Diceros bicornis minor: one gene and its partners. The protein of the gene in region 3 binds, or shares a complex with, the protein of the main gene of each other region. Links are inferred from orthologs where the notes say so. Each region holds a gene or a part of one and is shown on either strand. Other genes may lie near its edges.

Region 1 (7,210 bases), on a different chromosome or scaffold from region 3:
TTGCTCCTAGAACAGTGGCTGGTGCAGCACGAGGGAACCCCACTGTCCACACTCTCCTCTCCAGTCTCAGAGCTTGAGGGACCATTTTCCTTCAAAAGTTCCAAATGTGGGAATTCATGCAGGGCACTCACACCAGAGCAGCTCACTCAGGTACTTGTTCATACTCACATACATACCCATGGAGCCCCAAAGTCACACCCTACCCTCACACCATGAGCAGATGGACTAAAACTAAGCCAGGCATTTGGCTTCCTGCCACCCATCTCCTCTTCTTGAAATGAATCCTGTCCTGACCATCACCTCCTCCTTGTCAGGGGCATTAAGCACAGTTCACACAAACAAACTTGGATGCCTGGAGATTGGGACTGGAGGTACTATTTAGGGAGTGTGGAGCCAGCCATTTTGCAGATGGGGAAACTGAGGTTCAGACAAAGAAAGTGACTTGCCCAGGGCCAGGCAGTGAGGCCAGGATTGATAGAACCAGGGTTGAAATCTGGATTTACTGACAATCAGACCAGGGTCTTTTTCATGGTGTGTATGCACACACACACACACACACACACACACACCACAGTTACCCTCAATTCAGACATCTCTGGCTTGAACAACAAATCTTTTTGAGTAGGAGTTCAGGGCATATGGCCCCTTGTTAAGGTCTAGGCCTATCTGTTGAGGGAATTTGGGGATTATGTCTGCCCTAGCTGGCTTTACCAGTTAAATTTCTTCCCCTCTCTGTCTCAGTTTCTTCATCAGTAAAACGAGAAGAATATTACCTACATTAGGGGATTATTGTGAAGATTAAATGAGTCATCAACACAAGTAAGGACTTAGAATAGTACCTGGCACATAGAAATCTCAATGATCTCATCATTAGTATTATTTGTTTAACTCTGTAGATCTGGGGCTGGTAGGGGGAGAGCTCTGCTTCTAGAGTGATCAGAGCTTACTGGTTTTGACTCAGATTCCAAGCTACCCACTGGCTTCCTCTCAGCCTTGCCTTCTAGCTTAGGGAGTAAGGGGGGAGAGGGGAGTGGTGAGACAGTTCTCCAGCAGGCTCATACCTTCGAGTACACGCAAGGTCCTGTGAGGGACACACCCAGGCTGACACATCTTTGCCCTTGGAAATGGGGGGCCCCAAGCCATTGGGAAGCCCCCAGGGTTTAGTGGTGAATAGAAGGGTGACCTCTTGACCTCAAACCTGGGGCCCATAAAATTGAGCAAGTGCTTACATCTGGGCAGGGATTGGATGGGTTAACCCCATGGATGTGAGCTCATGTGCACATGTGTGTATATCTGTACATGGATGCTTCATGTGTATACATAGATGCCCATGCATATGCATATCCATGTATGTACACAGGAGTGGCACCCTATGTCTGATTGGAAATGAGACTCCAGGATTACTCCCAGCCTGGTGCCCACTGCCCCTTTTTACAGCCTCCAGGCCCAAGCCAGGGTCCCAGAATACTAAGCCCACTCCCCCAGGCCAGGGTCAGTGGATGGCTCTGCTGCTCTATAATTCTAAGCAAGTACCTTGGGCTCTGTGTGCCTTAGTGTGCCTCAGTTTCTCCACCTATAAAATGAGGAGTTTGGATGAATTGAGAGCTGAGGTTTCCTCCAGCCCTGATAATAAATCTCTGTAGTGAGGAGGGATGGGTCCCAGGGGTTTCAGGAAGGGATTCTACTGGGCTCCAGCCCCCAACTTCCATGGGTACCCCTGACTCTTCAGAGAAATGGAAGACTGGGATCTGACCTAGCAGTCTGTACACGGGGTTCAGCTAAGGCTGGGAGCAGAATCCAGGTTGTTTAGGGTATCAGAGTGTATGTCAGGAGCCCCCTTCCCTGGGCTCGGGGAACCAGAAACCTATGCCCAACAAAATGCGTCCTGTACCAGGATAAAAGGTCCAGGTGTCAACTCCTGTACCAGCCACTCTTCTTGAGCACTAACTGCTGATCTGATTGGAGTCTACTCTGTGCCAGGCCCAGCGCAGGCTGGGTGGGGGAGTATGTGGACAAAGATTCTGCCCATGGGATGCCAATCATCCACTTGGTAAGACACATACACACCCACAATTAGTCATCTTCACTTACTGTTTATTGAACAAATAAATGACTGTCCATCAAGGTAGCTCTGGACACATGGGTGGGGACAAGGAAAGCTACCTAGAAGAAGGGGTGAGTAGAATCTTGAAGACAGGAAAGATCTGAATTCAGAAAGGCCTGAAAAGGGCATACCAGGCAGGGGTGGATGTGGGAGAGTGTTGAAGAGACAAAGAGGAGTTTGACCTTAACACAAGGCACATGTTGGAGAAGAAGGGAGATGAAGCTGGAGAGAACTGGGGCTGGATCATAGAAGGCCATGAATGCTGTGTGAGGAGTGTGGTACTTTGGGAGCCACAGAAGGTTTTAGAGCAGGCAAGTGGTGTGACAGGAAAGGTGTGTTAATGATTATTTAGTTTAAGTCAGCAAGGAGGTCAAGAGAGGGTATGAGGTTAGCAGGAAGTAGATGTGATGGGCAGAGGCTCAGGGTTGCCTGGAATGAGGACACTTTGGGGACACCACTCCAAAGGCCAAAACACTGCTCCCTCCTCCCCCAGCAGCCTCTGGGTATTCCTGGCTCCTTCTCCTGGTTGCTAGGGCTGAGGAGTCCCTCTGGGGTTTCAAACTAGGCTGGGACAGGATTTTATCACCAGAGCATGAAGCTCTGGCCTAGCTCACCACCTGCCTCCTGTTGGGCCAGATGGGCAGCTCTCAGACCCACCCTCACCAGTCCTGCTCTACTGAGAGAGGACTCAGAACCTCTGGCCCTAGAGATTCTGAGGATGTATATTTGTGGTCTCTCCCCAGGCATTTCTCAGGCCACTGGGAGAGCTGGGGGCTTAGGACATGTGATTGGCAGAATCCTGAGGGTGGAGTGTTTGAAAGAATCTCCAGAAGGAAGCTTGGATATGTTAAGTTTGACAATAAGGGAATTGGGGCTCAGAAAGGTAACATGACTTCCTTGAGATCACACAGCAAGTTTGGGGCAGTCAGGACTGAGCCCAGGTCTCCCTGGGGAGGCTGGAGCACTCTGGGGTTTAGGCAGTCTGGTGCATGTAGAGAGTGGAGAGGGCTGGGGCCAGGAACTGAGTTCAAATCCTGGCTCTGCCATTTACTACAACTTTGTGACATTAGGAAGTCACTTAGGCTCTCTGAGTCTGTTTTCTCAACTGGAAAATGGGGATAATATTCACCTTTTGGGGTTGTTGTGAAGATCAAAACACATATAAAGCACTATAGCACAGTGCCTGGGACTCAGTAATTGTTCAATAAGTGTCCGCTAGTGGGCTGGCAGCGGCAGCAGTAGGTACTCAATAAATGTTTGTTAAATGCATTATTGAATAGGAATCACCATACTAACAGTGAGATTTGTGAGCCTCAGTTTCCCCGTGTGAAAATCGGGACTAATAATCCCTGTCCTGTCACTCTTCTGTCCAGCCCCAGTAGCAACGTGGATTAAATAAGGTGTGTAAATATTCCCGTACAGAACAGTCTCTAGGTCAATGTTTATTCAGCCCAGAGCAATTCCTCTCCAAGTCCTACTCTGCAAAATTTCCCGTCAGCCTAACCAACTCTTCTACACTCCCGAGTGCTCCTCCGGAACCAGAAAAGAGGGATGTCGCTCACCTTTCAAGCCTGCCCAGCTGAGGAAAAATGAGGTGGGAAAGCAGAGAATGTGTTGGGGTGGAGATGAGAGAGAAAAGCGAGGGAGAGCAAGGAGAAAGGTGGTGGGGAGAATGGAGGTGCAGGGACGTGGTGTGGAGTTGAGAAGCGGGTACAGATTGGGGGATTTGGATACAGGATGCAGGTGAAAAGATATGGAGGGAGTGGGAGAGGTGAGGGCGCTGGGATATGTGAAGGGAATGCAGGAAGATGGGGATCCCGTAGGAAGGAGTGAGGACTCTCCTCACTGAGAGGTCTGTGGGTCGCCCGGGGCAGGGGGTACAAGCTCCCAGCAGTCACCTTTCGGGGCGGCCCCCGGAGGCTCGGAGCTGGGCTCCCGGGCAGGAGCCACTAGCCAGCGAACCGTGGAGGGGGCAGGGAGGGGGGATCCGCAGCCTGGGATTGGCCGCCGCTCCGCCGGCCGGTGACGTGAGGCGGGCGGGCCCCTTTGTGACGTCACAATCAGCTGTTTGAACGTTCCAATTTGTGCCGTGAGCCCAGCAGCCGCTGCACAGACTCAAAGCCCCGCGGGCGAGCGCAGCAGCCGGCAGCGTCCGGCCCGTAGCCCCGCCGCCTCTCCGCCCAGCCCCCGCGATGCGCCCCGGCCTGTGATCAGCCGCCGACCCTGGGACGCTCCGCCGCACAACTACCTCAGCGCCACCGCGCCCACAGCACCGCCCTCGCCCCCAGGTGAGTCTGGAGCAGCTCCGGCCAGGGGGCTCCCCGCGCCCCGGGACACGCCCCGCGCCCCCTGCTCCCGGGTCTTTGTCTGTTTTTGCCGGCGGCCGCCGAGGCTGCATTCGGGTCTCCCGATTGGCTGCCGCACGCCGGTAGACCATGACGTCTCCCTATTTGCATATGACATTGAGACGTCACCAAGGCCGGCACCGCCCCCCCCGCCCCCTCCCCGCTCGGGTCGCTTGTCCTCCAGTGACCCGGTGGGCGCTGGGTCCGGGCTGGGCCGGTGGGTGAGGGACGCTGAAAAGCAGCGGGACCCGAGGGGCCTCGGCAGTTTGCTGGGCTAGTTCAGGGGCTGCGGCGGGCCTCTGATCCCCTATTTTCTCCTTGCCAACTTGAGAGGGGTTCGGACGGCCCTGCTGGATCTAGGTTGGGAGGGTTGTCAGGAGTTCAGAGGCAGCTTGTATCTCCAACTCCAGGGTGTTGGGGCAGCGCCAGATGGTGGAATCCCCTCCCTCCGGCTCCAGGCTCTGCCCCCCCGGGACTAACATAATAACATCCTCCTAATCCCTGGCATGTGTGCAGCGCCTTAGCTAACATCACTCCCAACCCCAAAACAGGGATCTTAGACCTCATTTCACGGAAGGGGAAACTGAGGCCGAGAGAGGAGAAGTGGCTTACTTGAGCTCATGCAGCCAATTAGAGTCATGACTACTGAGTGAGTGACAGACACATTAGGCACGGGCACATACCTAGTAGGAGCTCAATACTAGTAACAAGTTACACATCCTCCTTCCATTGGAGACTCTACCTTAGGCTCAACACCATCCAAATTTGATAGGGCTGGTAGGTCTTCTCACTCCTGGATCTTTTTCCAGGAGGTCTCTGGAGATTGGGTCCCCTTTTGTGGCCCTGACTCTCTGTACCCTGGAGTCCTAGAGCCCAGTAAAATTGCTGCTTCCCAGCTGTTTTGACCACAGGAAGGTGAGTCATGGCTGCATCAGGGTGTCTCCAGGGCTGATGTAGGAGTGGGGTGGGAGGTACGAGTTTCCTCTGTTTGGCCCTTCATCACCTCCCTAACTCCCAGAGTTGTCAGCTAGGAAGGACTGACCTGGCCAAGTGCTGGTGATTACAAGGCTTGTGCTGCCCCTCTCTCTGCTCACAGAGAGGGGCCAGAGAAGAGGTAGGAGAAAGAGAGCTTCTGACTTTCCAAGTCGATGGGCCTAGAGGCTGGACCAGGAACCCCATCCCAACCTGGGCTTTGCTCAATGATGGGCTGGGGTAGAGGTGGCTTGGGGCTCAAGTGCTATTCCGGGCACAGCTGCTGTAGTTATTAAAGGGAATGGTTCTCCCTGGAGCAGAGCTGGGAATGTGAGAATCAGGAAGCTGGCAGGGCTGGGAAAGAAAATCTGAGAGGCTCCCCCAGTGGTCATGTGAGGGGGCAGGTGCTGGCTGGCTGGTGCTGCTGTTATTCCTGGCCCTGTCACTGACTTGCTGTGTGACCTTGGGCAGGGAGCTTCCCTTCCCTGAGCCTCCCTTACCTCAATCTGTCTATAATTTGAGGAGGCCCAGAGAGGCTTGGTACACAGAATGAATCTTGGGGCCAGGAACCCCAGACCCTTTATAAAAGGGGTGGGCAGAGGGACTCTGAGGGGGGCAGTAACTCGATCAAGGTCTGACTCCTGTCTGGCCTCCCTATCTCCCCTGCATCATTATATTTTGGGGGATTGTTTGCTGAGGATTTCCCTACTGTGTACACTCTCGACTGGATGCTCAGTGACCTGGGGCTAGGTCTGCCCTGCCACCATCTAGCTGGCTTTGGACAGACTTATGTCCTCTGACCTGCAGGTTGTAAAATGGGCTGGGTGAACATGTTGGTCCTGAAACAGCTCTTCACTTCCCTTTCATCTTCTCTAATGAAGTAGTAGGTCCTTGGAAGGAGGGTGTGCCTCATCAAGGCCCCAAACTTCCCTTCCTTCAGGAGGGGCCAAACTTTCTGGATTTTTGGTAACTGAGTCACTAACTCCTGTGGCTACAGACGGGTTGGGATATATGGCTTGTGCCGGGCAGGCACTAGGTAGGGGTGGCCCAACCTTTCATAATCCCTGTAGATCTCCCACCAGCACCCAGGGAGCACTTCCTTCTGGAGTCCACTGTGGGTCTGCAAATGTGGGAATATTGTCAGGGTATGCAGGTTAGGTGATTTTGTGGCAAATGTGAAAACATTCCCAGGGAATGGGAGAGGTAGCAACAGGCACAGAAATACCCGGGGTAGGTTAGCAGTCAGAGTAGAATGTGGACATGCCCCCCCGGAGTTCTATAGGAAGTGTGGAAACATCCCTAGAGGAAGGCGATAAGGGGCTCAGCAGCAAAACTGTTGATCTTCAGGGGAAAGATGTGGAGGGCTAAGCTTTAGGGACATTCAGGGTGTCTGACCAGCAGCCCCTAGCCCAGATCTAGTCCTGAGGTAGGCTGAGGAGGGGAGGGGGGCAGATCTACAGCCACCTCCTTGGTGTCTCCATGGAGCCGGGGGTCTCCTTTCTCATCTTTACCCAGGGAAGGACTGATTGGGGGCTTGAGTCCTGGTCCAACCCTTAGCGCTCATCTTTAAGGGCTCCTGGGGTCTGATAGCTCCCTTCCTCCCTCATCCCCTCCCACTGACCCGCTGTCTTCCTGGGGCCAGGCAACCTGATCTTCCTCCTCCTAGCCAGGGATGCTGCCCTTGAACAGGAGCTTAGGAATAGGGGGTAAGAGAGGGGAGGGCCTGTGGGAATAGGATCTTTGAACTTCATCTGACAGACATAACTGAGGGCTGTGCGATCACATGGTG
Region 2 (7,755 bases), on a different chromosome or scaffold from region 3:
GTATATTTCAAAATGCTTTATTTTCCCCTCCTCTGTCAGAAACATGAGGATTTCTTCTTGGCTCTTCACCATGAGAACCTGGTGAGGTTCCTGGAGGTAAAACCCGTGAAAGTGTGGGGTGCTCCCTAAGACTGCAGCCCCCAGGAGTTCCTCAGTCTCATACTAGCCCACGCTCCCCTTCCAACAATTTGTCAAAGTTATCATTTAAATGTGCTTACCAGCTTAAGGCTCCAGGGGCTTCTGTTTCAGGTAAGCTGATCTTGGCTGTGATTCTCTGTGTTTGCCTGTCTCTCCAGCATTTGGGGGGCAGTTTGCCCTGCAACCTCAAATCTCTGATGAGTCCAAGAAAAGTAACTGATTTAAAGTTTGTTTAGCTTTCTTCTTGTTGTAAGGATGGGAGCGATGACTTTCTTTACATGTCAAAGCTGAAACTGGAAGCCTTCAAAACTCTGTAAAAGCAAACTTGAAAAGCATTTTGTCATCTATTCAATTATTCACTTATCATAAACGCAAGATATTGAGCTAGACTCTATGGGTGGATGTGGAGATAAGCAAACACAGATCCTGCCCTCAAGGAGTTTATATTCTAATGGGATGGTACAAGACATCTTCTCAACCCCTGTGCTTGAACGTGTCAGAGGTGTGTGGAGGCGTTAACGGTCCCAGCTCCCAGTGCGCCAGTGGCAGAACCTGAGAGTAGCGTTCTCTCTTAGTTTTTCTTTATACACATGATTTTCTATTTGTGCCATCACAGGGAAAAAGTTGAAAAGTACTGGAGGTGGCAACAAGACACATACCAAATTACTGGAATAAAATGTAGACAGTGATGTGTCAAAAAAAGATCAGATTATAAGGTAGGTTTTGGAGGAGGGAGGCATTAAATCTAGAAATTCTGAAAATATTAGGAGAGGTCACATTTGGGGTGAACATGGAAAGATGAGTAGGATTTGGATGTGCAGAGAGGGAGGGACAATTGGTGGAGAATATTCCAGGTGGAAGGCACAGGGCAGGACTGGGGAAAGGACTGGGATGAAGAATATCGAGTTCATGGATGGACATTGAGGGTATTATGCAAAGTGAAATAAGTCAGAGGGAGAAGGTCAAATACCGTATGATTTCCCTCATTAAGTAGTAGATAATAACAACAACAAACAAACACATAGAGACAGAGATTGGATTGGTGGTTACTAGAGGGGAAGCGGGGAGGGAGGAGGGTGAAAGGGATAATTCGGCACATGTGTGTGGTGATGGGTTGTAATTAGTACTTGGGTGGTGAACATGATGTAATCTATGCAGAAATAGAAGTATAATGATGTTCACCTGAAATTTATACAATGTTATAAACCAATGTTACTGCAATAAACAACAACAACAAAAACAATATCGAGTTCAGTTTGGTTAGAGCGGAGGATGCGTGAGGGGAGTAACGGGTGATAAAAGTTAAAAAGCAACGTTGGGCCCATGTGGAATATCTATCAATTTGCATGTCTATATATCTATCATGTGATATTAATTGACATTCATGATAATAATAACTAAGGCACTACAAAATTCAAGATGCCTTGTAAATTGCCAAAGTTTAAATAACATTTAATATGATTGCAATGCTGAGTATGTTTACTGTGTTTTAATTGCAAGCATAGTGTAAAGTAAAGCTGCGTCCTTTGAGGGTGAGTTGGATGGTGAAGGGTGTGAGTATGAGGAATTAACGTCAGCGAATAAATCAAAAATCACAGCGTCAAAATCACCCTTGAAAATTGTTTCAATTGCCCATAAGGTCCATTAAGCATGGTTTTATAAATACTACCCTATGCAATAATTCTTAGGCACACTAGGTTTTGAGATTAAGGTAATTATAAGAACAAAAAGTGGGGGAGGAGTCTATAGGCAGATGTCTGAGCATTTAAGCTATTCTACATAAAACGATTACCAAATTCCTAAGCGGTGAATGGTTGATGAATGGAGAATTCTAGTGTCACTACCTTCAGAGTTAACTCCTTTTGGTTTGATATAAGGTCTCTATAAATGCAATGTACATGCACTGATTGTTTGGTGATGGTGTGTGTGTGTGGCGGCAAGGGATGGTAAAGCAGAAAGTGAAGAGGTTGAGGTACTAAAGTCAGTGAACACTACCTATAAGTTTAAAACAAAAGAAACAAATGATTTTGTATCTATAACAGTTTGCACTCTCTTAACTGAAAGTAGTAGAAGTTCACCTGAGCTGGTTCAAGCAATTAAAGAAAAAGCAGGAGTGGGGACTGGGTGTTTAGAAGGCTTTGGGGTGTAACCAGACCTAAGTGTTAGGATTCGGCTAAGCCTCAGGAATGAAGTGGACCAGGAATTTGAATGTCCTCCAAAACTCTTGCTTTTTTGTGGATCTAATCATTCTTACCTCTCTCCCCTCTCTTTTTATCTCTTTCACAGCTTTTTATTTTATTTTCAAAGGGGTGAAAGGCTTTAACAAGGGTAGGGATTACTGCTGCTATTTCAGCACTATTTCATAGAGAGAGGTAATAGAGAGAAATAATATCAAGGAAGTAGCTATTCTTGTTTACTAAGAGGTTTTGTTTGTTTTAAATCAAGAATTGCTAGTTCTTTACTTCCTCTTTTTATTGCGGTATAACTTACATACAGTACACAAATCTTAGGTGTATAGCTTGATGAATTTTCACATATGTAATCACACCAGATCAATATATAGAACATTTCCAGTACCCCAGTAAATAATAATATATACCTTTCCTTAAGAAACAGCTTTATTCAGGTATAAGTCACATACAATAAACACATATACACATATTTGAAGTGTACAATTTGGCAAGTTTTGATATATGTACACACCCATGCAACTAGTACCACAATCAAGATAATGAACATATCCATCACCCCCAAAGTTTCCTTTTGCCCCTTTGTAATCCTTCCCTCCACCCCCACCCCATTTAGCTATTATTCTTAACTCTCCAGATATGTCCTATAATTCCTTACAAACACAAACACGATTCTGCTATTTTTGAATGTGATCTTTTCTCCTCCTACATTCTTAAATTGGCAATTGTAGTTTAGGAAAGCTATTTCTCTAGCCACTTTAATGAACTTGTTTCAATTCATTCCTTTGGATTTTCCAAGTTAGCAATCATAATACCTGAAAAGAATTATATATGTAGATATATTTATATGTGTATATATATGTATAGATATATATATAAAAACATAAATACACACACACACACACACACACACACACTCTTATTGTTTTGTCTGGACTTCCTGGTTCAGTTAGGACCTCAGGGAAATGTTGGATAGTAGCAGCAGGCCTGCTCCTAACAACTTCAGGGCCCAGGCCAAGAGCACAAAAAGAGACCCACACACCATATGTCTAAATATTTAAAGATTATAAATCAAGTTAACAAACTGTTAGATTAAAAAGTTCTAGCCTGCTCCCTTGACACACCTAACTTTGGCAAACATACATATAATAACCTAGAAGGCTAGGTTCAAATTTAGAATCCTGAGTGCCATACCTCCCTATTGTACTTGAGGTAGCTTTTTCAGAACTTAACTTGAATGACCTTTACTTCAAAAGATCTTGTTTAACCGACCCTTGCATAAAAAATATTTTCCCATGGTATTGCCTAATACTTTAATTTTTCTCCTTAGAATTAAAATTTTATAAGCACCTCATTCCTAGAGTAAAACATATATCAACATCCACTATACTCACAAAGAAAATCCAAACTGCTTAGATTTTGTGCCTTATTTTAGCAATTGCCTTTCAAGGCTTTCTTACAGGCCCCTAGTCTTCCTTGGTCCACAATTCTCACCTCTACATCCACTCCACAGGAAGATTCTTAAGAACTGAGTTTCCTTAGCTACAGCTTGAACATCCTTATGACTTCTGAGGACAATACCATCAGTGGATACATTCTAAACAAGTCATCTGAATATTCACCAACACATATAAAAAAGGCTGGGTCTGGAAGTCAGGTCATCCAGAAAGCACCTGTGACCCGGCCAGGCCTTCAAAGCTAGCCAGCTGCTTCTTCCTTGGTAGCAGCTGGTAAGGGGAAGAACTTGGGAAGGAACTTAGCAAACCCAGCTGGAGTTCCAACTCGTTCACTAACTGGTTGAACTGGAGTGAGTCACTTAAAACTCTCTGTTGAGCCCTGGTGTCAGTATCTATAAAATCGGGACGAGGACCTTGGCATTAAGGGCTCCGTCAGCTTTGGGGTCAGAAATCACGACTTGTCTGAGCTTCAATTTCTGTGCCTGTTACAGTTAAGACTTGTGCCCTGTCCACCTCACAGGGTTTTTGGGGGCTCGAGGGAGAAGGCACAACCTTTCTGAGCTTCAGTTTCTACATGTGTAAAGAGCTAAGAACACACGGCCAGCCCGCCAAGAAAATTCCTGGAAGAAGAGAGGAAAATGGACAAGAACATTGCAAAAGTAGAAGGGTACATAAACATGAATTGTCTCATACTTAAAACACAACCAACAGACCTAAAAAGCGTTTGTGCGCCTCTTTCCTCCTGGCTTCAGTGTTACAACCCCACAACGAAAATCTAGACCACTTTTTAAAAGGATTCTTGAGGTCCCGGGCGGCGACTGCGTCAGTCCCACTAATCCGCGCGCCAGCCACACCCCGCGAAGCCTGGAATGGGCGAAAGGGGGCGGGGCCCAGCCCGGCCGGCCCGCCGCGCCGCCCCGCCCCGCCGCGCCGCGCCTGCGCCGTGCGCACCGACCGGCCTCCAGCGCCCCGGCCGGAGGTAAGGGGCTCGCGGGAGGTCGTCTCGGGGGCGTCAGGCCCTGACGGGCGCGGCGGGCGAGGCGCTGCCTTGGCGCGCAGGAGAGGCGTCCCGCGGGAAGCGGGGCATCAGGTCGGAAGTGCGAGCGCCGTGGAGCTCCTCTCGTTTCCCAGAAGTGGCGGTTTCGTTTTGGAAGCGCTGTTTGAAGCGGGTATAGGGAGGCGGCCAACGGGGCGAGCGTGTGGCCTCCCGGGGTCGCGGGGCGCAAAAGTTCCTGCGCCTGCCCTGCCCGTGACGCACGGGGGGCCGAGGTCGTCAGGGTCGCCGGCGTCTCGGTCTCGAGACCCGCCCGCACATCCGCTCTCGGGTGGGGGCGTTCGGTGCGGGTGGCCCAGGTGCGCCGTGGGTGACTCTGCGGGGGATGATGCGAGGCTCGGGGGTGGAGAGGGGAGGACAGGGAGCGGGGGGGTCGGAGCTGCTGTCAGTCAGACCGGGAGGTGGTCCGCAGAAGGTACCGGGTCCACCTTCACTTCCTCCTTTTATGAATTCGGAACCAGAGGCTCAGAGAGACCACAGGGTAGGACCAAGGGCCTTGACTTTCCTTTCCAAATTCAGTGCCCCGCCCCCCAGTCAGAAACACGGGGCGACGTGCCTGAGGAAATCCCGTGCCACCAATGTGGGAGCTCTAAGCTGATGGAAGGTGTGCATCACTTTGCGGGGGAGGAGGGGGGTTGCCAGCGATTTTGGACTTTTTCTGAGAAATGGGGCTTTTCACTTATAAATACTCTCAAGTAATGTAGTTAACCTCCCAGTACTTTTTCCTCGTTGGAAACATGAGTATTATGGTACAGAGCTGATAATAGTTGTTAGCACTGAGTGATCAAGTTTGTAAAGCACCTGGCACTCCCCCCCACCCCCCAAAAGTGTTAGTGCAGCGGATATGATTGTAGTTCTTGGACTTGTAGATGTTTGACCCGTGTTATGTGAAACATCAGTTCATATATATTTTTTAAAAAAGGCTTTTTGTTTTAAAATAATTTTACGATTATGGAAAAGTTAGGAAAGTAGTACAGAGTTCTCTGCAACTTTCTTTAATGTTAACACCTTATATAACTATAGTACGATTACCAAAAGGGAGAAATTAACATCAGTACAATACTGTTAACTAAACTACCAACTTTATAAAGATTTCATCATTTTTTAGACTAGTGTCCTTTTCCTGTTCCAGGATCCAATCTAAGATCCCACGTTGCCCTTAGTTGGCATGGCTCCTTAGTCTCCTCCAATCTGTGACAGCTCCTCAGTCTTTTCCTGCCTTTCATGACCTTTAACTTTTCAAGAGTAGAGTCCTGGTCAGTGGTTTTGTAGAATGTCCCTCAGTTGGGTTTTGTCTGATGTTTTAGCATGATTAGATTAAGGTTATGCACTTTCGTTGACACTACAGAAGAGTAGGTGCCCTTCTCAGCTCATCATATGAGCGGGTGCATGATATGACACATTTGGTGTTACTCTTGATCACTTGGTTAGGGTAGTGTCTGCTGGGCTTCTCTAAAGTTGCTATTTCTCCTTTTGTAATTAATCCATATCTTGGGGCAGAACTTTTAAACTATGCAAGTATCCTGTTTCTCCTCACACTTGCGCTTGCTGATTTTATCGTCCATTGATGGGTCTTGCCTTCAGTAGTCATTACTGTGATGTTCTAATGGTGATTTTCTGTTTCTCTCATTTCTTCTTCATTTATTAATTGGAGAATTAAAAGGAAGAACTGCCTCTTTTCCCATTTATTTATTTTATTCATATATTTATTTGTATCAGTATGGACTCATTTATTTTTCCATTGGTTATTATTCTACACTTTTGTTATTTAGTTTATGTCTCAAAGTGTTCCAGCTTTAGCCACTGGGATTTTTTTCTGGTTGCTTCTTGTGCCCTTTTGATAGGACCCTATCCTTTTTTGAGAACTTCCTTACTTTCTGGCACCATAAGATGCTCCAGGGTTATCTTGTGTTTTCCCTGCCCCAGCCCTGGAATCAACCACTTCCCCCAGGACACCTGGTTTCTTTTTTATGAAGAGTGGTATTTAAACACCAAGATCTGGGTGCTAGGTATGCTCACTGCTACTGGGGTATCATTGCTTCTAGTGCCTGGCAGAAGACTGCTAGGAAAATATATATATCTCTCTCCACATCCACATATTCCATGGAGATATATATACACACACATATATATGTATCCATACATACACAAAGATTTCTATTTATTTTTGTACTTATTTTTATGTATATATACACAGCCATATATATACAACATATGTCTGTATATATATGTCAGTATATATATTTTTAAAAAACAAAAGTTCATTCTGATACCTCCAATTGTAATTAACACCACAGGGTTCACTCTAGTCTTGCCCCTTATCTTTCCTTGACAGTGAGAAATCTGGCTTTCATGTTCTACAAAATATTTTCTTATTTGTTCAATCCTAGTTTACACATAAAGTGATTTCAGGAGTTCTAACCCATGCTTCTATGAGAAACCAGTTACTAACTAGAGTACAGTATAGTTGTGTGTAGTTCTTTGTGTCTTTAGCCCTGTAGTATCTAGTTACAGTACTGTTTTCCAAAGTTACCTAGATTAGTTATTTTCTTCTCCCACTGCTTTCAGTGTGGTTATGCTATTCATTTGTAATACAGTTAATTTTATTTTTTATGGTTTGTATGCTATTTTGGCTTCCCCCACATCTTGTCGTTGTTTTTGTTCTTCTAACTTACAAAAATTCACTCTTTGTAGTGTACAGTTCTTTGAGTTTTGACAAATATGTATAATTGTGTATCTACCACCACTGTAATGATACAGAACAATTCTGTGAGCCCGAATCTTCCATTAGGCTTTAAAAAAACTGTTAAAAGTAATTCTACAGAATCGTGAGAAATTAGGCACTTTTGCATGTTTTGTTTTTTTCATAGGCTTGTTTTACACAGTTGTGATGTTAATATAAATGTATTTTTTATCC
Region 3 (6,593 bases):
TCGATATGATATCCTTCCCTTATCTCCTGTGTCCCGGAATCGGCTAGGTGAGTTTGCTGGCTGGGAAGACTGTTTTAAGGTGAGGTAGTAGGGTTCAGGGTCTGGGCTGGAGGTTGGTTGGTGTTATCCCTTCCCGTTGTGGTTCAGGCCAGGTGAAGAGGAAGATCCTGGTGCTGGATCTGGATGAGACACTTATTCACTCCCATCATGATGGGGTCCTGAGGCCCACAGTCCGGCCTGGAACACCTCCTGACTTCATCCTCAAGGTGTGTGGTGGTGGGAAGTGATGAAATGGTTATGTCCATTATTCTGCTTAGACCTGGACTCCCTTTCCTGGTCCCAGAGAGTCTTGTCCCCGTCTCCATTTCTTGGCACCAGTGTGAGCCTGAAGGGGGGAAGCAGGCAGTGGGAGGGTAGGGGGTGTCCTTTAGGCCTGTGTTGTGCTCAGGACTTCTCCCAGCCTTTCACCGTTCCTCTACAGGTGGTAATAGACAAACATCCTGTCCGGTTTTTTGTACATAAGAGGCCCCATGTGGATTTCTTCTTAGAAGTGGTGAGTTTGCGCAGCTAAAGGGAGCTCTGTGATGAAGGAATGGTTTTAGGGCTCTGGGAATTTAGAGGATCTGGAGGAAGTAAGGGGTGAGGAGAAATGGGTAAGGGCAGTTTTGGAGAGGGGAGGTTGTGGGATGATTAGAAAATGGCTTTTGATAGTTTGGGTTCATTTGTTGTGTTGATGTAATTCTATTTTTCCACAGGCTTCCTGCTCTTTTGTTCTCACCTCTCTGAATCTTAAGGGTGTATGGTGCCTAAGACTCTGAGTTTGGGGGCGTTCAGAATTTTGTGTTCCCAGAGACATTCGATGTTGCTGAAAGGCCTGAAGGACTAGACTGGATTCCTAGTGAAAGGGAACTGTATGTCTAAATGAATGATCACCTCTTCTGACACCTCTTTCCTGCGATCTATTTCAGGTGAGCCAGTGGTATGAGCTGGTGGTGTTCACAGCAAGCATGGAGATTTATGGCTCTGCTGTGGCAGATAAACTGGACAATAGCAGAAGCATTCTCAAGAGGAGATACTACAGACAGGTAAGGGGCTCGAATCCAGGTCTAAGAGTTAGGCTTGGGAGGCAGACCACCAGGGCAGGATTTGAGTTTGAGGCAATTTGCCCTGGAATGGGACCTTCTGGGCATGAGGGGGAGGTGTATGGTATGATCTCTGTTGTGAGAGTTGGCTGCCCATGGGTGTTGTTGGGATTAGGGGAGCAGTCACAGAGCGCGAGTCTCCTTCTGATGCCAGCTCACCCTGCCTTCCAGCACTGCACTTTGGAATTGGGCAGCTACATCAAGGACCTCTCTGTGGTCCACAGTGACCTCTCCAGCATTGTGATCCTGGATAACTCTCCAGGGGCTTACAGGAGCCATCCAGGTATGGGGAAGGTGGTGAGTCTGGCAGGACCAGGAAATGGTTTTGAGGAGGTATTTTGAATGCATAGAGCTGGGATTCCCTGGTTTACTGTAGGTCAGGATGTAAATTGTTTCTCTTTTAAATGAGACATCCCTCCTCTGCCACATGTCCACTTCATACATTAGATTTCCCATATCAAACTTGCTTCAGGTGAGACACAATGGCAATAAATTTTGCTAAAAGTCTCACACTAGTATGAGATATGGTGATTAAAGTTTAATTTTATTTTGGAGAATAAATCAGGAAGGTTTTACTTAGGTTGTTGAGTTTGGGCGGTGGGGGCAGGGTGCGGTTCAGTGAGGTATGTATTTAAAGAATGATCCCTACCCCGAAATAAAAGAAAAAAACAGTGTCTCTCTTGAATTCTTTGTTTCTTCTCATGTGTATCTTCACTCAACCTAGACAATGCCATCCCCATCAAATCCTGGTTCAGTGACCCCAGTGATACCGCCCTTCTCAACCTGCTTCCGATGCTGGATGCCCTCAGGTAAGGGAAGCTAGACATTTAGATTTCCGAGGCAAGGAGGAGGTGGGGGATCCCAAGAGGGAATAAAAGTTTGTCCTGTTTTACTTAACTTATCTCTCTTCCCTTAAGAACTTAGCATTTGAACCCAGGTCTTCTTACACTAAAGCTTATCACTTTTAGCCATTGAATTTTGGGCAAACTGAATCTCAGTCTCATCCAGTGAAAATGGTGATCATTTCTGCCCCACGTCTCCAATGAGGCTGCCTTACAGTAGTGTTGTGAGGATATCAACTATAAGGACTCTACCAATGCAAGTTATTGTCATCCCAGGTTCACCGCTGATGTTCGTTCTGTGCTGAGCCGAAACCTTCACCAACATAGGCTCTGGTGACAGCTGCTCCCCCTCCACCTGAGTGGGGTGGGGGGGAAGGGAGGGTGAGCCCTCAGGATGCCGTCTGATGCCCTGTCAAATGGTGAGGACTGCATGGGCAGGGTCTGCCCCTCCCACCCCTCTCTGCCCTGGGAGCCCCGCACTCCATATGGAGTTTGGATGGACACATGGGCCAGACTCTGAAGCAGCCTCACTCTAACTTCGTGTTCGCACTCCCTGGAAACCCTAGACTGGGACATAAGCCGAGACCTAGGAGAGCCGAAACAGTGTCTGTGGTGGAGAGACAGGACTGGCCAGAGTGAGAGACATTCGGTAATCTAGGAGGCTCAAAGAGAAGCCAAGCCAGCTTTGTTGTGATTTGATTTTTTAAAAACTCTTGTACAAAAATGACTAATTCTTCACTCCAAGGGCTGGGCTGTGGGTGGGAAACTGGGATTTTGGGCCACTGGATTTTCCCCAAACTTGTCCCCCCCTTACTTTTCACTCTATTTTCCCTTCTTCCTAGATTCCCTCAGATCTGTAACCACCTTTCTCTTTTTTTTCTTTCCTCTCTTTTAAACCATGCATTATAACTTTGAAACCAAAGCTGCCCTAGAGCCTTCTCTGGGGTTTGGGGAAATGAGGGGAGGGGTCATGGTTTACACCCTCCCTGTCCCCTAGGCAGAGGGGAAAGAGACTGCTGTTGGGCCCAAGAAGGGTAGGAGGAAAGGTGGTGCTGGCTTTTCGGGGATGAAAGAGTTAACATCAATATCTATGCTTTGGCGGGAAGGGTCTTAGTGACAGGATGGGCGGCCTGGCAGGGAGTGAAAGGACAGCTGCGTGTCCTGAAGGAACTTGAGCTTTAGCGCAGTATAACATAGAAGTATGAAAGGAGGAGAAACCTGGACGCCAGAACAGGCATATAGCTGGAGAGAGGCCGGGCTTCGCTTGGGGGACTGACGTGGACAAGCTAAGCACGGGCTGCCCCCAGGCGGCAGCTGCCCCGGGTCCTCGGCTCTCTCCGCTCCACCCCGGCGCTTCCACCCCTCAGCGCCCTCCTTCCGAAGCCGGCTCTACTTCCTCGCACCCGCCACGTGACGCTCCGCCCTTCTCCAAGATCACATGATTTTTCTGTTACAAATACTTAAAGTGTTCTTCCGCGCTGACGTAGTCCCTACCTTTCGGACCTCCTCTCCAGTCCCTATTGGTCCACTCATTCCTGGAACCTAAGCGTTCTGTGCGTCTCTCCAAATATATATTTCCTTTTTGTCGTCCGTAATTGCCGGAGACCACCTCCTCTGCTTGGGTACTACTTTGTTTTGGTGTCAACGGCCGCCTTTAGCGTACCAGCACGTTTTGTGAATAGCTATCCTTGTAATTATCTCTGCTCTTTTTTTCCTCTGCGTTACTTCCGAAAAGAACGTTTGGAGAATCAGGTCTCAAATTATTACCATCTCCTAGCCCTTTTCATTCCCGGCTTCGTGGGGGGAAGGTTGGGAAATGGGTTTTCAGTTACTTTCAACGACAGCTACGTAGCCTGCGTAGCTGACAAGTTGATTCCAAAGCGATTACGCTGACGGCGTGAGGGGGGGGCGGTCAGTAGGTGGTGCTACGCTAGCGGCGTTAGGGCTACTGAGCTAGTGGCGTAACATAGCAGGCGGGGCGACCCTTGATGGGCGGGGGCGGGGTTGGTGAATAGGGAAGTGGCGCAAGTCTCGGGATCGCTCCGCTGAATCCGCCCGCGCGTCGCCGCCGCCGCCGCCGCCGCCCCCCGTCCCGGCCCCCCCCCCCGGGTTCCCTCAGGCCAGCCCGGTCCAGCCCGGTTCCCGGGAGGATGAAGTTCGTGTATAAAGAGGAGCATCCGTTCGAGAAGCGCCGCTCTGAGGGCGAGAAGATCCGAAAGAAATACCCGGACCGGGTCCCGGTGAGGACAGTAGCCAGGGCCGAGGGCGCGGGCGCTGGCGCTGACGCCACAGCCTGGACTTGGGTCCGCGACGGGCAGCGCGGGCATCGGGCTGCCGGCTGTGGCGGGGTTGGGAACGAGGCCGAAACTGCTGTCTCTGGGACCGGAGGTGAAAGGAGTCGGGTAGCGGTAGAGCTAGAGGCGAGGGGATGTAGGTGGAGAGAGAGATCTTAGGATTTGTGTGGGAGGCTGTAGGGAGTTTGACAGCCTGAGCTTCACACGGTCGTTCCCCCCAGCTAGCTAGATTTTTGAGATTGAAGCTCTAGTCAGCCCAGACTAGTCATCCCCATCTGATTAAGATAGTTGTTTACTATGACGCCCTCTTCAGGGATCCTGGATATTTAGGTGAGTTCCAGTCAATGGGGTGAGGATCTGTACTCAGGGCTGCACCGCGTGTTCAGAGACAAAGAAAAATGAGTCGGGGGTAGGTTTGGGTGTTGGGAATATTGTTGCTCCAGCTCTTGACAGGTGGAGCTGTGAGGCTGTATACCTGATGTCTCCTAATTTTCATCTTTGTCAGGTGATAGTAGAAAAGGCTCCCAAAGCTCGGATAGGGGACTTGGACAAAAAGAAATACCTGGTGCCTTCTGATCTCACAGGTGGGAACCTGACCCAATACTCAGGTTTGCTTCCTGTGGGGGGGGTTGCAGTCTCTGTGGGAGGAAGCTCCACATATAGCAGCTGTTCTTTTGAGGGCATTTGTGACCTCTATGACTTTATCACACTTTGTATCTTTGGCAGTTGGTCAGTTCTACTTCTTGATCCGGAAGCGAATTCATCTCCGAGCTGAGGATGCCTTGTTTTTCTTTGTTAACAATGTCATTCCACCCACCAGTGCCACAATGGGTCAGCTATACCAGGTATGGTGACCGGGAAGTAGTGGAGGCTTTTGAGAGGAGTTAGAAGAGTTTGAGGGGAAGAACGTTTTAGGTCAACAATTCTTGGATTAGCTGGTTTGTTTAGCTCTCAATTTTATCTTTGGCCTTAAAATTTCCGGATTGCTCTGGATTGGGGGTTTGGACGGGCCAGTGGGAGTAGAGAGAAGGGTGAGAATAGTGAGCTGGAGCAACTATTCTGATCCAGACTCTCCCCAGTCCCCTTCCCATTCCAAGGCAGCGGAGAACAGTCTGAGATCTTTTTGCCCAGGACTGCTGTTAGGGATACTACTGCTTGCCACTAGGGCCTGGAGCGAGGGAAGGAGTCAAGGCACTGGTTTTTGGGGTGTTTAGAAAGAATGGTTTTTGAAGAATGTGTCTGGGCAGTGGGTGGTTCAAGTAACTAAAGCCCAGATGCCTGAGCACCATAATTTTCTGCTTTTACCCCAGGAACACCATGAAGAAGACTTCTTTCTATACATTGCTTACAGTGATGAAAGTGTCTACGGTCTGTGAAGCTGCTGCCCCTGAGGTGGGGGGTCCCATTCTACAGAGAGAGAGGTGGCCCCCCTTCCTTGACCTACTCTTCCTCCTTCAGGCTCAAACACCACCTCCATTATTCAGGACCTGCCCTTCCTAATGTTTGAGGCTCTCCTCCAGCCCGTCTTAGCAGGAGGGTTAATGGGGGAGATGGCCGCTACTACTTCTCCCTTCTCCTTTCTTCCCCCTTCTCTACCACCTTTGCCACTCTGCTTTAGACTTCTTGATTGTCAATCTCTGTCACATCCAGTGATTGTTTTGGTTTCTCTTCCCTTTCTAACTGCCCAAGGGGCTCAGAACCCCAACAATCCTTTCCTTTCACTACCTTCTTTTTTGTGGTGGATGGAAGGGACTGAATTGTGGGGGAAGGTAGGAGGCACATCAATAAAGAGGAAACCACCAAGCTGAACTGGATTTTGCTTTGTGTTGCTCCCCTCCCCCTTTTGTTTTTTACTCCTCACTGGTGGGGAAAGAGGTTGGAGGGATAGTAATAGATTTTGGTTTATTCTGTTGATGTTAGGCTTTTCCTTGTGTATAAATAGGGTGCTTTTGTTGTGATGGATGGAATACTCGGAGTATTGTTTCGTGAAACTTCAGTTTTACATACGTGTGTAGGGGGTCCTGATAAAAAGTTTTTTACTGTGGGTTCCTGTGGAGAAAGTTTGAAAGTACCTGCTTTAGAGAAACACATCCAAGTTTGTTATAACCTTTGGGATTAAGGAAGGGATTTTCGTGTGTGGGAGTTGGTAAAAGGACTCTGTCCTCAGTTGCATGTCACTTGGCCAGACTTTGTGCCGGCGTGTGGGATCCAGTGGAGTGGAATCCGAGAGAGAGAAGACTGGGAGGAGGAAGCCATTATCACCAGGAGAACTTCATCTCCCAGCAACCACTTCTCCGTCTAGCCGGAAGTGGAGC

Evidence for each region. Proteins that work in one complex are often made in the same cells at the same time.
Region 1: the proteins of GABARAP (region 3) and TP53INP2 are in contact, whole or in part, in a crystal structure (PDB 8T31), measured with the Homo sapiens proteins. The link is inferred for Diceros bicornis minor from reciprocal best matches to the Homo sapiens genes GABARAP and TP53INP2. Residues at the interface, in NP_009209.1 of Homo sapiens: Tyr5, Glu17, Ile21, Tyr25, Arg28, Pro30, Val31, Ile32, Lys46, Lys48, Tyr49, Leu50, Val51, Pro52, Asp54, Leu55, Gln59, Leu63, Arg67, Phe104; in NP_001316358.1 of Homo sapiens: Glu31, Val32, Asp33, Gly34, Trp35, Leu36, Ile37, Ile38, Asp39, Leu40, Pro41.
Region 2: the proteins of GABARAP (region 3) and STX17 are in contact, whole or in part, in a crystal structure (PDB 7BV4), measured with the Homo sapiens proteins. The link is inferred for Diceros bicornis minor from reciprocal best matches to the Homo sapiens genes GABARAP and STX17. Residues at the interface, in NP_009209.1 of Homo sapiens: Tyr5, His9, Lys13, Glu17, Lys20, Ile21, Arg28, Pro30, Lys46, Lys47, Lys48, Tyr49, Leu50, Pro52, Leu55, Gln59, Phe60, Phe62, Leu63, Lys66, Arg67, Phe104; in NP_060389.2 of Homo sapiens: Ala169, Glu170, Ser171, Trp172, Glu173, Thr174, Leu175, Glu176, Asp178, Leu179, Glu181, Leu182.

Annotation. Positions count from the first base shown.
Region 1 is NC_080758.1:24,903,665-24,910,874, reverse strand, and holds the start of TP53INP2 (tumor protein p53-inducible nuclear protein 2), read left to right. Parts: upstream 1-4,199; 5' UTR 4,200-4,392; intron 4,393-7,210. UniProt on the Homo sapiens protein: Dual regulator of transcription and autophagy. Positively regulates autophagy and is required for autophagosome formation and processing.
Region 2 is NC_080767.1:9,866,296-9,874,050, forward strand, and holds the start of STX17 (syntaxin-17), read left to right. Parts: upstream 1-4,744; 5' UTR 4,745-4,763; intron 4,764-4,826; exon of another isoform or gene 4,827-5,137; intron 5,138-7,755. UniProt on the Homo sapiens protein: SNAREs, soluble N-ethylmaleimide-sensitive factor-attachment protein receptors, are essential proteins for fusion of cellular membranes.
Region 3 is NC_080757.1:11,041,443-11,048,035, forward strand, and holds GABARAP (gamma-aminobutyric acid receptor-associated protein), read left to right. Parts: upstream 1-4,062; 5' UTR 4,063-4,134; coding exon 4,135-4,224; intron 4,225-4,783; coding exon 4,784-4,862; intron 4,863-5,004; coding exon 5,005-5,123; intron 5,124-5,588; coding exon 5,589-5,654; 3' UTR 5,655-6,087; downstream 6,088-6,593. Other genes in the region: CTDNEP1 (CTD nuclear envelope phosphatase 1), read left to right, coding at 1-47, 148-266, 482-553, 969-1,085, 1,314-1,425, 1,867-1,951, 2,261-2,321. UniProt on the Homo sapiens protein: Ubiquitin-like modifier that plays a role in intracellular transport of GABA(A) receptors and its interaction with the cytoskeleton.